Linked DNA regions of Drosophila melanogaster. The protein of the gene in region 3 interacts with the protein of the main gene of each other region in a pairwise test. Each region holds a gene or a part of one and is shown on either strand. Other genes may lie near its edges.

Region 1 (4,559 bases), on a different chromosome or scaffold from region 3:
ATTTGTTTAAACGTTCGTAACTTAATTATTCAAAACATATTTAAGCAATACTGCAAATGAATACATATAGTGAAATAAATGAGGGGAATCCTCGAAACGCATGATGCAATATTTGCGTCAATTATGTGCATATCTCAAAAGAGGGGCTTGGAAGAAGACACAAGAGAGCCAAAGATAGAGAGTTTAATTAGCCGTTCTAATAATTTCGTTTAATAGTGAAATGGCCATTGTACATACATACATATATCTATGGCAAAGCACAATAAACAATGATAATGACAAGGCTATTCAACCGTTTATTTTTTGTTAGAAACAGCTGATTGCCGTTTTGTATTTGTTTATATAATAAAGCTTTGTTGACGTACGCAAAGCACAGCTGAAAAGCAACAAATGGCATAATCTCGTACGCATTTTTTGGCGTTTATTTATAGGCGGCAAACAAAGAGCGCAGTTAATGCGTCAGTGTGTGTGCCAAACATAGATATGTACTATGTACTTGCGTACATATGTATGTATTGTTTGTATTTTGGCAAACCAAAACAAACAGAAAATTTGCATATTATGCGCACATTAACTTGTTTCCATTGGAGTGGCGGCAAGTTTGGGAAACATAATTTGAGCCATTGAGAAACCGCACTAGCTGTAAATCAGCTGAATATCCATTTGTAGTTGTATGTTGAACTTAGCAATTAAAAGTGAAAGGATACGGGTGAACGCAGAAAAAGAAACGGGTATCTGGTCCTTGGCACTTACAGTTCATGCAGCCTTTTGTGCTCCTCTTCTCCGTCTGGTGTTTGTCCCTATATCTTTTCGGATTTATTGCGAATTGTACATAATTTGTTTAGCTTTTCCCGTAAAATTGTTTTCCGTGTCCCGAAGCCACGTACCGCGCGTCGTTGCCAGATCGGTTGAGTATCGTAAGTACCTGGTGCCACTTATCGATAGCTAATTTTAAATATTTATAAATTCTTGTGTTAAAAATGACCTGAACAGTATTTGAAACTATTATTGAGCACAGGTGAACCTTTTATTAGTTTTTAGCTATAAAATCCAAATTTATTATATATATACATTACATATTTGACTTCCTGATTATGAAATACATTTGTTTAACAACTGGCATACACTTTAATTAGTCTATTTAGTAAAAATCTATAACAAAATAAAACAAAATTGTTCTGAAACCTTGAGACCTAAATATTAGCAAAAAGTTTGAAATTAAATGTTATAAGCGTTTGAGATCCATGTAAACTTACGAAATATAAAAATAACAGTATTTCTGGCACTACTTAAAGTCCATCTCTATAAAGCTCGTATCCGTTAATTTTAAAATAAAACAAGTGCGCCATACGTATTTAAAGCTCAGTGTGTAAAGGGATTCAGATATGGATGGTAACAGCAAAGAAATGGAAAATTGAGAAGCACCCACAAATGACCCATCGCCATACCGGATTCGGAAACTAATTCCCGAACAGACAATGGGCCACAGGTGCATTCACGACGAACTTGTTCGCAGAAGTACCCGGTTAAAAGCCTGTCCTCTGACTCACAAGAATAACAGGGATTTTCCCGAGCACCCTCTGCTCATGAATCTGGACAGAGACAGCTTATCGGATGCCCACCTGCCGCCCGAGGAAGCAGTGCAGTGCGGCACTAACGAGGACGGACATCATGCGTCTGGGCAAGGTACATTCTTCCCATAAGGTCATGTACATCCCGCAGCACGGTCAAGAGGTTAACGTTGGCACCAACGAAGTACTGGTGCAGGTTTGAAACGCTACTTTAATACAAAGTAAAGATCCAGTAGATAACCACAAAATGATAGCACAGTACATTATCTTAGCCAAAATAGAGTTATGATTAAGACGCTAATATAAATGTTACTTAATATAAATGTTACTTACTTAATGCTATAAGATATTTAAAGGATTATTTTCAATCAAGATTCAAACTTATTAAAATAACAGTATTTCTAGTATATTTGGTATTCTCCAGAGGTCATCTCTAATAAAGCAGGAAAGTTGATACGAATCGTTTCGTTTTCCGCTCATTGTTGTGAAATAAATTTGGAACAGAAGAATAGAGCCACACATATTCAAAGCTCAGTATCCATAGGGACGTAGTTATGGAGAGTAATAGTAGTGAAATGGAAGGTAACGGCGGAAAAATCGCAGAAACTGCACCCACAAATGACTCATCACCTTCACTGAACATTTTATGTGCAATTTGCAACGAGTTTTTCCGGGCCAACGACATAATTTTCTCAACTTCACGGTGCGGTCATGTATTCCACAAGGACTGCCTCACCCGATGGCTGAATAGGTCCAGGACCTGCCCCCAATGCAGAGACCCATGCGACCGACGACGCGTGCACCGATTGTACCTAAACTTCGCCGAGGCCCCGGAGTTCGATGACACCGAATTGCCCAAGGTGGCCATGGATTGGGTGCCCATTGATCTGGACAGAGACAGCTTACCGGATGCCCACCTGCCGCCCGAGGGAGCTGTGCAGTGTGGCACCAACGAAGACGGACTGCCCACGTATGTGGCCAGAGGATATTACCACGACGATCTCCTGCCTGCTCCTTATGTACCGGAAAAGAAGGCTGCCTTCGGTTCGCACAGCTGTAGCGCCCGAACTCTGACCGATGATGTCGAGATCCTGGTGCTCAACGACTGTGACTACAAGTGGGTGCCCGGACAGCATGGAACATATCCGCGGGATGCTCTGAACACGGGCTACTCCGAGCTGGGTGAGGTCACCTACACGGGTCGTGGTCTTTACCAGGGTATCCTGCGTCTGGGCAAGGTGCATCCTTCCCACAAGGTCATGTACATCCCGCATCATGGTCAAGAGGTGAGCGTAAACACCTACGAAGTCCTGGTGGTCACCCCACGTGACCAGGCAGATCGATGATGCTGCTGATATCTTAAATCTCTTATGCCTTATTGTATGAATCTGTGTTATAAATACATATGTACGTCTTATTCTATTTTTGAAAAAAATCGGATCTATTATTTCTGTACTTGTTTTAAATTCGCTTATCAGTAAGCCAAGATTTGTCCCCAATTTCTTTAATCAAGCGAAAAATTGATAACTTTGTTTTGACTGCCAGCAAATTATGTACAAATAAAAGTCCCCATATACATATGTATAAGTTAGTCTGCTATTTGCTGCCCTCAAGTATGCAATTCTTTATAATAGTTTGGAAAGTGAAGATGTTTGTGACTAGACACGGGTTTAAAAATATTTTGACCTTGACTTGATCAATGCCTACGATAAACGGAAATCTTGGTTTTTTGTATATTGTATCTAAAACGGACCAACTGTCTTCAAAATGGCAAGATTAATAAAAACTGCGGTCTTAAAGCTTTCTTACTATCGCTTTTGTAAAGTATGCACAACCGAGAGTTGCCCACAGAAGTTCTGGAAAGTGGAAACGCAGAAGACGAGGGGAGTCACCCACAAGGATTCGGAAAATACATTCATCCAATCAGGTGATGTAAATACGGAGGTAAGACTATGACATTCTGCTGGTGATTTCAAAAGTTTTCAAAAGAATTTGTTTTAATGTTTGATTAATGATAATGCAATTTTTTTGTTTTATTAAAAATGTGTTAGACGCTATTTATATGCTGATTAGTGTTTTGAACCTACGCATGTTGCGAACATATTGATTATACCTAAACAAAGAGGTTTAAGTATCTATATAAGACTACTCGTATAACTCTACAATTCATGTTTTTCTCTGCACTCCGGCTTGGCTTTGTTGTTCCAACAGAGGGCCTCACAAAATTTGCTTTAAAAATACGTAAGCTTGTATAATTCGTTTAATAAATCGGCTGAACCTGCACTATAACATGACATTTAATATATAAGTATATATTTAGCTAAAAATACAAATTTTTATATGTTCAACATGCTTTTAACATTTCACCAACAGGCGTTTTACTTTTCAATAGAAATAGGATTATTTTTGTTTTTTCATTGACTTTGTACTTAGTTTCTAAGCAATTTGTATATATAAATATAAAAATGAGTGTGTGTGACTGTATTTTGTGTGGGAGTGTTTATGTGGCGTGGTTGTGTGGGACTACACAAGACATTCATATATATATAATTGGTATTTACAAATTTAGTGGCTCCAATGTGTAATGCATGCATGCTTAATATTCTTTAAGCCTGGATTTGAGATGGATTTGTTTTGTGATTGGTCTAAATTGTTTTGTATTGGTTTAACATTTGAGCTCAGTTGAAGACAAAATAATGTGAAAACAGTCTACGTGGATATACACATCCATTAGGAAACATATACGAAGGCGAAACAAATAACTTCTAAACGGACTTCAAAAACAATTTTCGTACATGTGGATGACTTCGTAAAGTGTATAAACTCATTTCTGGGCCGACAAATAGTTCATGTACTGAGTGGTCTGCTGGGCATTCCGCACCAGCTCGCTTTCCTCCTTTCCGGATGGTGGTTGGCCCTTATCCGCCTGCCCCTGCCAGTTCTCCTCGTTCTGCGGCTGATGGATGTCTGGCTGGGAGCGGCGTGTGA
Region 2 (3,747 bases), on a different chromosome or scaffold from region 3:
ATGGCGCAGGTACAGGTGGGCGCGCAGAATCTTCGGGGAAGTCAGATTGAAGTCCACGTCGATGATGACGGCGCGCACGGGCTCCTTGCCAAAGATGTGCTCGGCCAGGCTGGCGTAGCTCTCCTCGATGAACTCGTTGGGCTACAGGCAGAGTTGGTATATCAAATATAGTTTAACTATGCATAGATAGGTTATTGGATTGTTCAAATTCAGGAGCACTGAAAACCAGCACCACTCTTCACCCAACTTATTTACCACTCACCCCGTCCAGGAGCTGGAATCCCGCCTCGCGCAACACCGTCTTGAACGACTGGCTGGCGATGATGTAGATGAGTCCCTCGAACTTGATGCTCTGCAGATAGCTAACGATGGACTTGGCCGGATGCCAAATCTGCTCCGGGTGCACCTGCATCCCGATCTTGGCGAAGAGTTTGACGCACTGCTCGGACGTGCGAACGCTGTTGTTGGTCAGGAAGGTCAGATGCTTGCCCATCTGCTCGAGAGCGGCATATCCGTCGGCGGCACGCGGAATGCTCTGCTCAAAGGTCCACAGGACGCCATCGATGTCGCTGACCACCCGGTCGAAAGAGTCGACAACGCTGCTCCGCTGCTCCTGGCTTAGCTGCAAAATGTGCTGGGGTTTGGCCTAAGGTTGTAATTGAAAATTCAAATTTAATTCAATAATTAAACTCAAAAAACTAGTAATGGATTTTTTTTAAAAACTATATAATTCTTAACAAGTTCGGCGCTTTGTACAAAAAATGAAATTTATCTATAGCACTTTTTAAAACTTCTAGCATTAAAAGAAAAATTCCATTTTTGGTGACAAAACATCTTTAGCGTTGTAATTCGTGACCTAGACCAACATTAGTTAAACTTTTGTATAAAATATAGGAAAATTGTAAATGGCAGTCCCAGAAAATAATAATAATAGTATATGCGTAGACTTAAAAAACAAATAGGCAGGGGGATCGATGGTGCACCTCGATAAGATTATTCCAGCAAAGCCCTGTTCCCTGCTCACCATTGCAATCCGTTCTGGTGAGTGAAAGTGTTGCTATCGCGATCACGGTCGTCAGCCAACTGACTTTGCTGAATATTGCTCGAGCTGAAATCGAAACCAAAACCAAAACCAAAACAGAATCTATATCCCATGCTGAGAATTAGCACCTCAAACGGCAGAACGACGACGACGGCCACCAAAACACTGGTGAACTTATACGGAAGCATTGGAAGAGAGGGCTCTCCACTTATCGCCTGGTCTTATCTGAACCCCAACGACATCCCCCTACTTATACAGTCCAAGTGGAGCTCGATTTCAAAACAATAGACAACGAAATTAGAAGAGCTTGCAAACAAAAGTTATAGTGTTTATATTTAAAATTATCAACAGAAAGTCTAGGAAATGATAGGAAATTAAAAGTTATAAGCTATGGCTTCAAATTTAAACTCCATGTCTAGATCTTAAAACCAAAGAATTAGTATTTCTGTATTTAAAATACCTAACCGAAGCTTTCAATATACAACTATTTAATATGAACATTTTGTAATAATTTCAATATCACTAGCTTATAGTTTTATGATTTATTTAGTAAAGTTTCACTTTTATTATATTCGTTTTTTTTTTTTTTTAAGAAAAGCCGAATTTCAATGAATATGTAAACCCCCCTACTATTTGAAAGCTGACATCAAGCGTGCAGTGGAAACAGCTCGTTATCTGTACTTTAATACCGAAAAACGCACTAGCGCATTTCAGCTGGCAGCTGGGAAATTTTTAGGTCCTGAATGAGACTTTGTTGCGATTCGATTTGAGGCTTTGGCATCGATTTGTTTTGAGGTGTAAATCGACTGGCTTGGGCCACTGGAAATGAAGCAGCAGGTGGGCCCAGGACAGCAACAGTGACAGCGCCAGCTAACCACAAAATTCGGGCCAGGAGTACGCGGAACTTGGAGTCGGAATCGACAGGAATCGGATCGATAAATGGGCGCCGAGCATTCGCAGCAGCGGGCTGAGGCCGATGGCCACGAGATCTTCGACGGACGCCAGCCACCAGGAGCGGGCACTGGATCCCTCGGCGATGGCAGCTCCATGATGCTGGCGGCCACGGCGGCGGCCAACAAACGACGCGGAGTTGGTCATCGCCAGCAGACGACAGGAGGAGCAGGCGGAACAGTGGTGGGCCCGGGAGCTGGAGTGGGCCCAGCTAGCATTGTGATAGCTAGCAAGCAGATCATCGCCGAGGCCGCTTCGCCCGGCGGCTCCGAACTGAGCAGACCGCCTTCGCCGCCGCTTAGCGTCTGCTCCGACCTGCCATATGTGTCCTATACAGATCGGCCAATCGGTGATTCGCCCAAGATACGCAGCAAGCCGGCGCATATGCTCCAGCAGAGCAGCGCCAGCCGTGCGGCGGCCAGGAAGTCACATCCGAGTGGACTCACCAGCGCCGTGAAACCGAAGCGACCACAGTCCACGGCCTCTAGTCATAATATAGTGATTGTGCGTCCCGGTGCCATCGATGCTGGCGAGGATGTGGACATGGACTTGGCACGATTGCGCAATATACCGCAGTTTCTGCCCGTGCTCCGTGAATCCATCACGTCGGCGACCAATACACGAGATGCAGAGATTCTGGAGCGACTAAACTCGCAGCATTTGATCAACATATGTACCCGCATGCAAACACATCTTAATCTGTGCGCCAGCTATGTGGCCAGCGAACAGAATCACCTCGTGGAACGTACCAAGGTGGTGAGCAACTCGATCACCACCCTCTTTGCCGGATTCGTGGACATGCAGAAGACGTACGCCTCGTACGCCGAGCAATTCGCCAAGATTCGGAGCATATCGCATCAGCTGAGCAGATGCAACTCGCTGCTGCACGAGAACATAGCCAGTCTGGAGGCGATCAATAACTTCCTGGACGACGAGGACCGCCTGGAGCCCTTCGTCTGGCGCACCGACGACAACAAGCTGCGCGGCGAGGCTGAGGGCGCCATCGGAGGCAACAGCAGTCGCCTGTGGCGGCTGTAGGATCCCCACACACTTATTGGTCTCCAAAGATTTTCCTAGCTCATAATAATCGTGTATTTATTGTGTATATTACTCGTTAACGATGCCGCTTAATCGTGATTTTTAATTAGTAAATCAAACCTAATATTAAACTCAATTTGATATTTTATTTCTCGAAATGCAAATAGTATTTTTCTATATTATCACGAAAAAATAATTCTTTATCATTGGAGTGAGGCTAGTTTTGCAAATGCGATAATTTTCTTTCGGTCAGCCAACCAACCACAATAGATATCTCACCACAGTATTATCGTTTGAAACTCATATAAAGGAAGAAACCAATTTGCTTACGACCTTATTTGTCCATTTAAAGGTTTGGATATTTATTTTATACACTGTATTCTCTCTTATGCAAATGCATATTATTACGTATGCTTGCCGCATATATGTATACAAACAATAAAGTCTTCAACTACAATTAACAATTAGACAGCGGTCAAAAGCACATTTATTACTTCTTACACAATTTGTCTAGATTTAGAGTAGATTCTAGCTACGAGTAAATATCGCATATAGGGATATACAATACAATACAAACATACATATACGACTATGGACAACAAATGTGAAACATTTGATTACTATTTTTGGTAACGCTACGCAAACAACATTTTTCATTCCATATACACACGATTACAATTCCACACAAGCATCTGGATGGTACATTTACATTATAT
Region 3 (3,204 bases):
TAAACATTTTTTATTTGTGGTACATTTTAGGTGAAGCCCGACAAGGCTCGCCCGGTTATGGTTTGGATTCACGGAGGAGGCTTCATTATCGGCGAGGCCAATCGGGAATGGTATGGCCCGGATTACTTTATGAAAGAAGATGTTGTTCTCGTCACGATACAGTACCGACTTGGGGCTTTGGGTAATCTACTGTGTGCGTATGCGCAATATTTTGACTAAACATTATTGTACCTACACAGGATTTATGAGTCTTAAGTCCCCCGAGCTAAATGTACCAGGAAATGCTGGCCTCAAGGATCAGGTGCTGGCCCTCAAGTGGATCAAGAACAATTGCGCTAGTTTCGGCGGAGATCCCAACTGCATCACTGTTTTTGGAGAGAGTGCTGGAGGCGCCTCCACTCACTACATGATGCTAACCGATCAGACCCAAGGGCTCTTTCATCGCGGCATCTTGCAGTCGGGCAGTGCCATTTGTCCTTGGGCCTACAACGGCGACATTACCCATAATCCCTACAGGATAGCCAAGCTGGTTGGCTACAAGGGCGAGGACAACGACAAGGATGTGCTGGAGTTCTTGCAGAACGTAAAGGCCAAGGATCTTATTCGCGTGGAGGAAAATGTCCTGACACTGGAGGAACGCATGAACAAGATAATGTTTGCCTTTGGCCCATCCCTGGAACCATTCTCCACGCCCGAATGTGTGATATCCAAGCCTCCAAAGGAGATGATGAAGACCGCCTGGAGTAACTCCATCCCCATGTTTATAGGAAACACTTCGTACGAGGGCCTGCTGTGGGTTCCAGGTTAGATATTGGGAATTTTTTTGAATTTTCTTTCAATAAGTAAATTTAATTTTATTTCACAGAGGTAAAGCTTATGCCGCAGGTGCTGCAGCAGCTTGATGCTGGCACACCTTTCATTCCCAAAGAATTGCTGGCCACGGAGCCCAGTAAAGAAAAACTGGATTCGTGGAGTGCACAGATTCGAGATGTTCATCGCACTGGCTCAGAAAGCACCCCAGATAATTACATGGATGTAAGTGTCGTCCAATTAGGTGCTTACATAATCATAAGCTGGTAATTTATTTCAGCTCTGTTCGATTTACTACTTCGTGTTTCCGGCCCTGAGGGTGGTCCATTCCCGACACGCGTACGCGGCTGGAGCTCCAGTATATTTCTATCGATATGACTTCGACTCCGAGGAGCTCATTTTTCCGTACCGCATTATGCGGTTGGGACGCGGTGTCAAGGGGGTCAGCCATGCCGACGATTTGAGCTACCAATTCAGCAGCCTGCTGGCTCGCCGGTTGCCGAAGGAAAGTCGCGAGTACAGGAACATCGAACGAACCGTGGGCATCTGGACCCAGTTTGCTGCCACGGGTAATCCCTACAGCGAGAAGATCAACGGTATGGACACTCTGACCATTGATCCAGTTCGCAAATCCGACGAGGTCATCAAGTGCCTCAACATCAGTGATGACCTGAAGTTCATCGATCTGCCTGAGTGGCCCAAATTGAAGGTCTGGGAGAGCCTCTATGACGACAACAAAGATTTATTGTTTTAAATTTAACTTACTGTTCTGTACAGCCTAACAAAGAAGTCTCTAGAAACTGTAAATAGGTCAAAATGCTTTATAAAATATATTCTGCAATTGGATTGTTTTGCTTTATAACTAGTTTGCCCAATGATTGCATGTGGATGAGAAATCCTAGTTTAGGTGAGATTTAAAAATATATATTTCTATTTATCTCTATATTTACCTCAGTTTACGCCATTTATTTAAATGCTTGATAACTTCTTAATAAGTTTGAATATAAAAACAATGTTCGACATGCCCTTTTGACTTTACTGTCAATAGCAATAGGAAAATTAAATTTTTAGACTTTTTTAAATTAACAAGTTTTTTTCCGAGATCTAGGGAAAACAAAGGAAAGGAACTCTGATCCCGTTGATAGAATGGCTGCCACTCGTCGTCTGACACGGGAACTCTCCGATCTGGTTGAGGCCAAGATGAGCACTCTGCGCAACATCGAGAGTAGCGATGAGTCCCTGCTGATGTGGACGGGTCTTTTGGTTCCGGAAAAGGCGCCCTACAACAAGGGCGCCTTCCGCATCGAAATCAACTTCCCGCCCCAGTATCCCTTTATGCCACCAAAGATCCTATTCAAGACGAAAATCTATCACCCCAACGTGGATGAGAAGGGGGAGGTGTGCCTGCCCATCATCAGCACAGACAACTGGAAGCCCACAACGCGCACAGAGCAGGTGCTCCAGGCCCTGGTAGCCATCGTCCACAACCCGGAGCCAGAACATCCGCTTCGTTCTGACCTGGCCGAGGAGTTCGTAAGGGAGCACAAGAAGTTCATGAAGACGGCCGAAGAGTTCACCAAGAAGAATGCGGAGAAGCGACCAGAGTGAAGTCAGCCGCAGCTCACATTTATTTGTATATCAAAATTATATATAGTTTGGACCATCAATTAAAACTTGTCAGACATAAGTTGTCCATATTTTGAATGTTCGCTAAGATATATGTATGGCGCATTAAATGGACGGTAATTCGATAAAAAAAATGGGCAAGAAAAAAAGTACAGTTAAAAAGAAATTCAAAATATTTTTCAAAATTGAGGTAAAAAAATTGTGGCCGTTGGTAAGCGTGGAATACATGTTGTTGGTTTATTGCTACAATCGTAGCCAACTCTTGGCTACTTGGCGGTGATTGTGGCCGGTGTCTAGCAATCTACTAAAGAAAACTTGTGCTTCAGCGCCTGTAGAATCTGCATGCTTGATTTCCCATTTCTAGCCATTATAGTTCCCGAGTTCACTCGGATATTGATCCTATATATGTACACATATAATTGATACCTATTACTTGATATACCCCTTTGTCTACGAGTAACGAATTTAATCAAATTACATTAATGTATCATTAACAGTAACAACAGGCAACCGCATTTGGCAATATCGTATTGGTAATTATAGCAATCATATTTACCTAATACAGTTACACATATACGCATAAGCTATCAAATATTGACCACATTCATCACTTTGGACGTCAGGTAGTCCACGTAGTGACGAAGCGTACCAGTAGCGTCTGCGAAGGATAATAACATACTTTCATATATACACGATAATAAAAGTCTGCTGCCGATTATAGCGAGTACCAATAGATATATACCAATAGAACACAAAAACTAAAGGAAT

Evidence for each region. Proteins that work in one complex are often made in the same cells at the same time.
Region 1: the proteins of Ubc84D (region 3) and CG10916 interact in a two-hybrid assay, tested with the Drosophila melanogaster proteins (one large-scale study listed by BioGRID).
Region 2: the proteins of Ubc84D (region 3) and BORCS5 interact in a two-hybrid assay, tested with the Drosophila melanogaster proteins (one large-scale study listed by BioGRID).

What each region holds. Positions count from the first base shown.
Region 1 is NT_033778.4:18,171,685-18,176,243, forward strand, and holds CG10916 (uncharacterized protein), read left to right. Parts: upstream 1-1,984; 5' UTR 1,985-2,125; coding exon 2,126-2,917; 3' UTR 2,918-4,041; downstream 4,042-4,559. Other genes in the region: CG5726 (uncharacterized protein), read right to left, coding at 4,396-4,559.
Region 2 is NC_004354.4:11,870,781-11,874,527, reverse strand, and holds BORCS5 (BLOC-1 related complex subunit 5), read left to right. Parts: upstream 1-1,748; 5' UTR 1,749-1,981; coding exon 1,982-3,031; 3' UTR 3,032-3,229; downstream 3,230-3,747. Other genes in the region: CG15739 (uncharacterized protein), read right to left, coding at 1-141, 263-646, 1,025-1,027.
Region 3 is NT_033777.3:7,518,111-7,521,314, reverse strand, and holds Ubc84D (ubiquitin conjugating enzyme 84D), read left to right. Parts: upstream 1-1,858; 5' UTR 1,859-1,956; coding exon 1,957-2,418; 3' UTR 2,419-2,495; downstream 2,496-3,204. Other genes in the region: alpha-Est7 (alpha-Esterase-7), read left to right, coding at 31-181, 240-803, 866-1,035, 1,091-1,564. UniProt on the Drosophila melanogaster protein: Catalyzes the covalent attachment of ubiquitin to other proteins.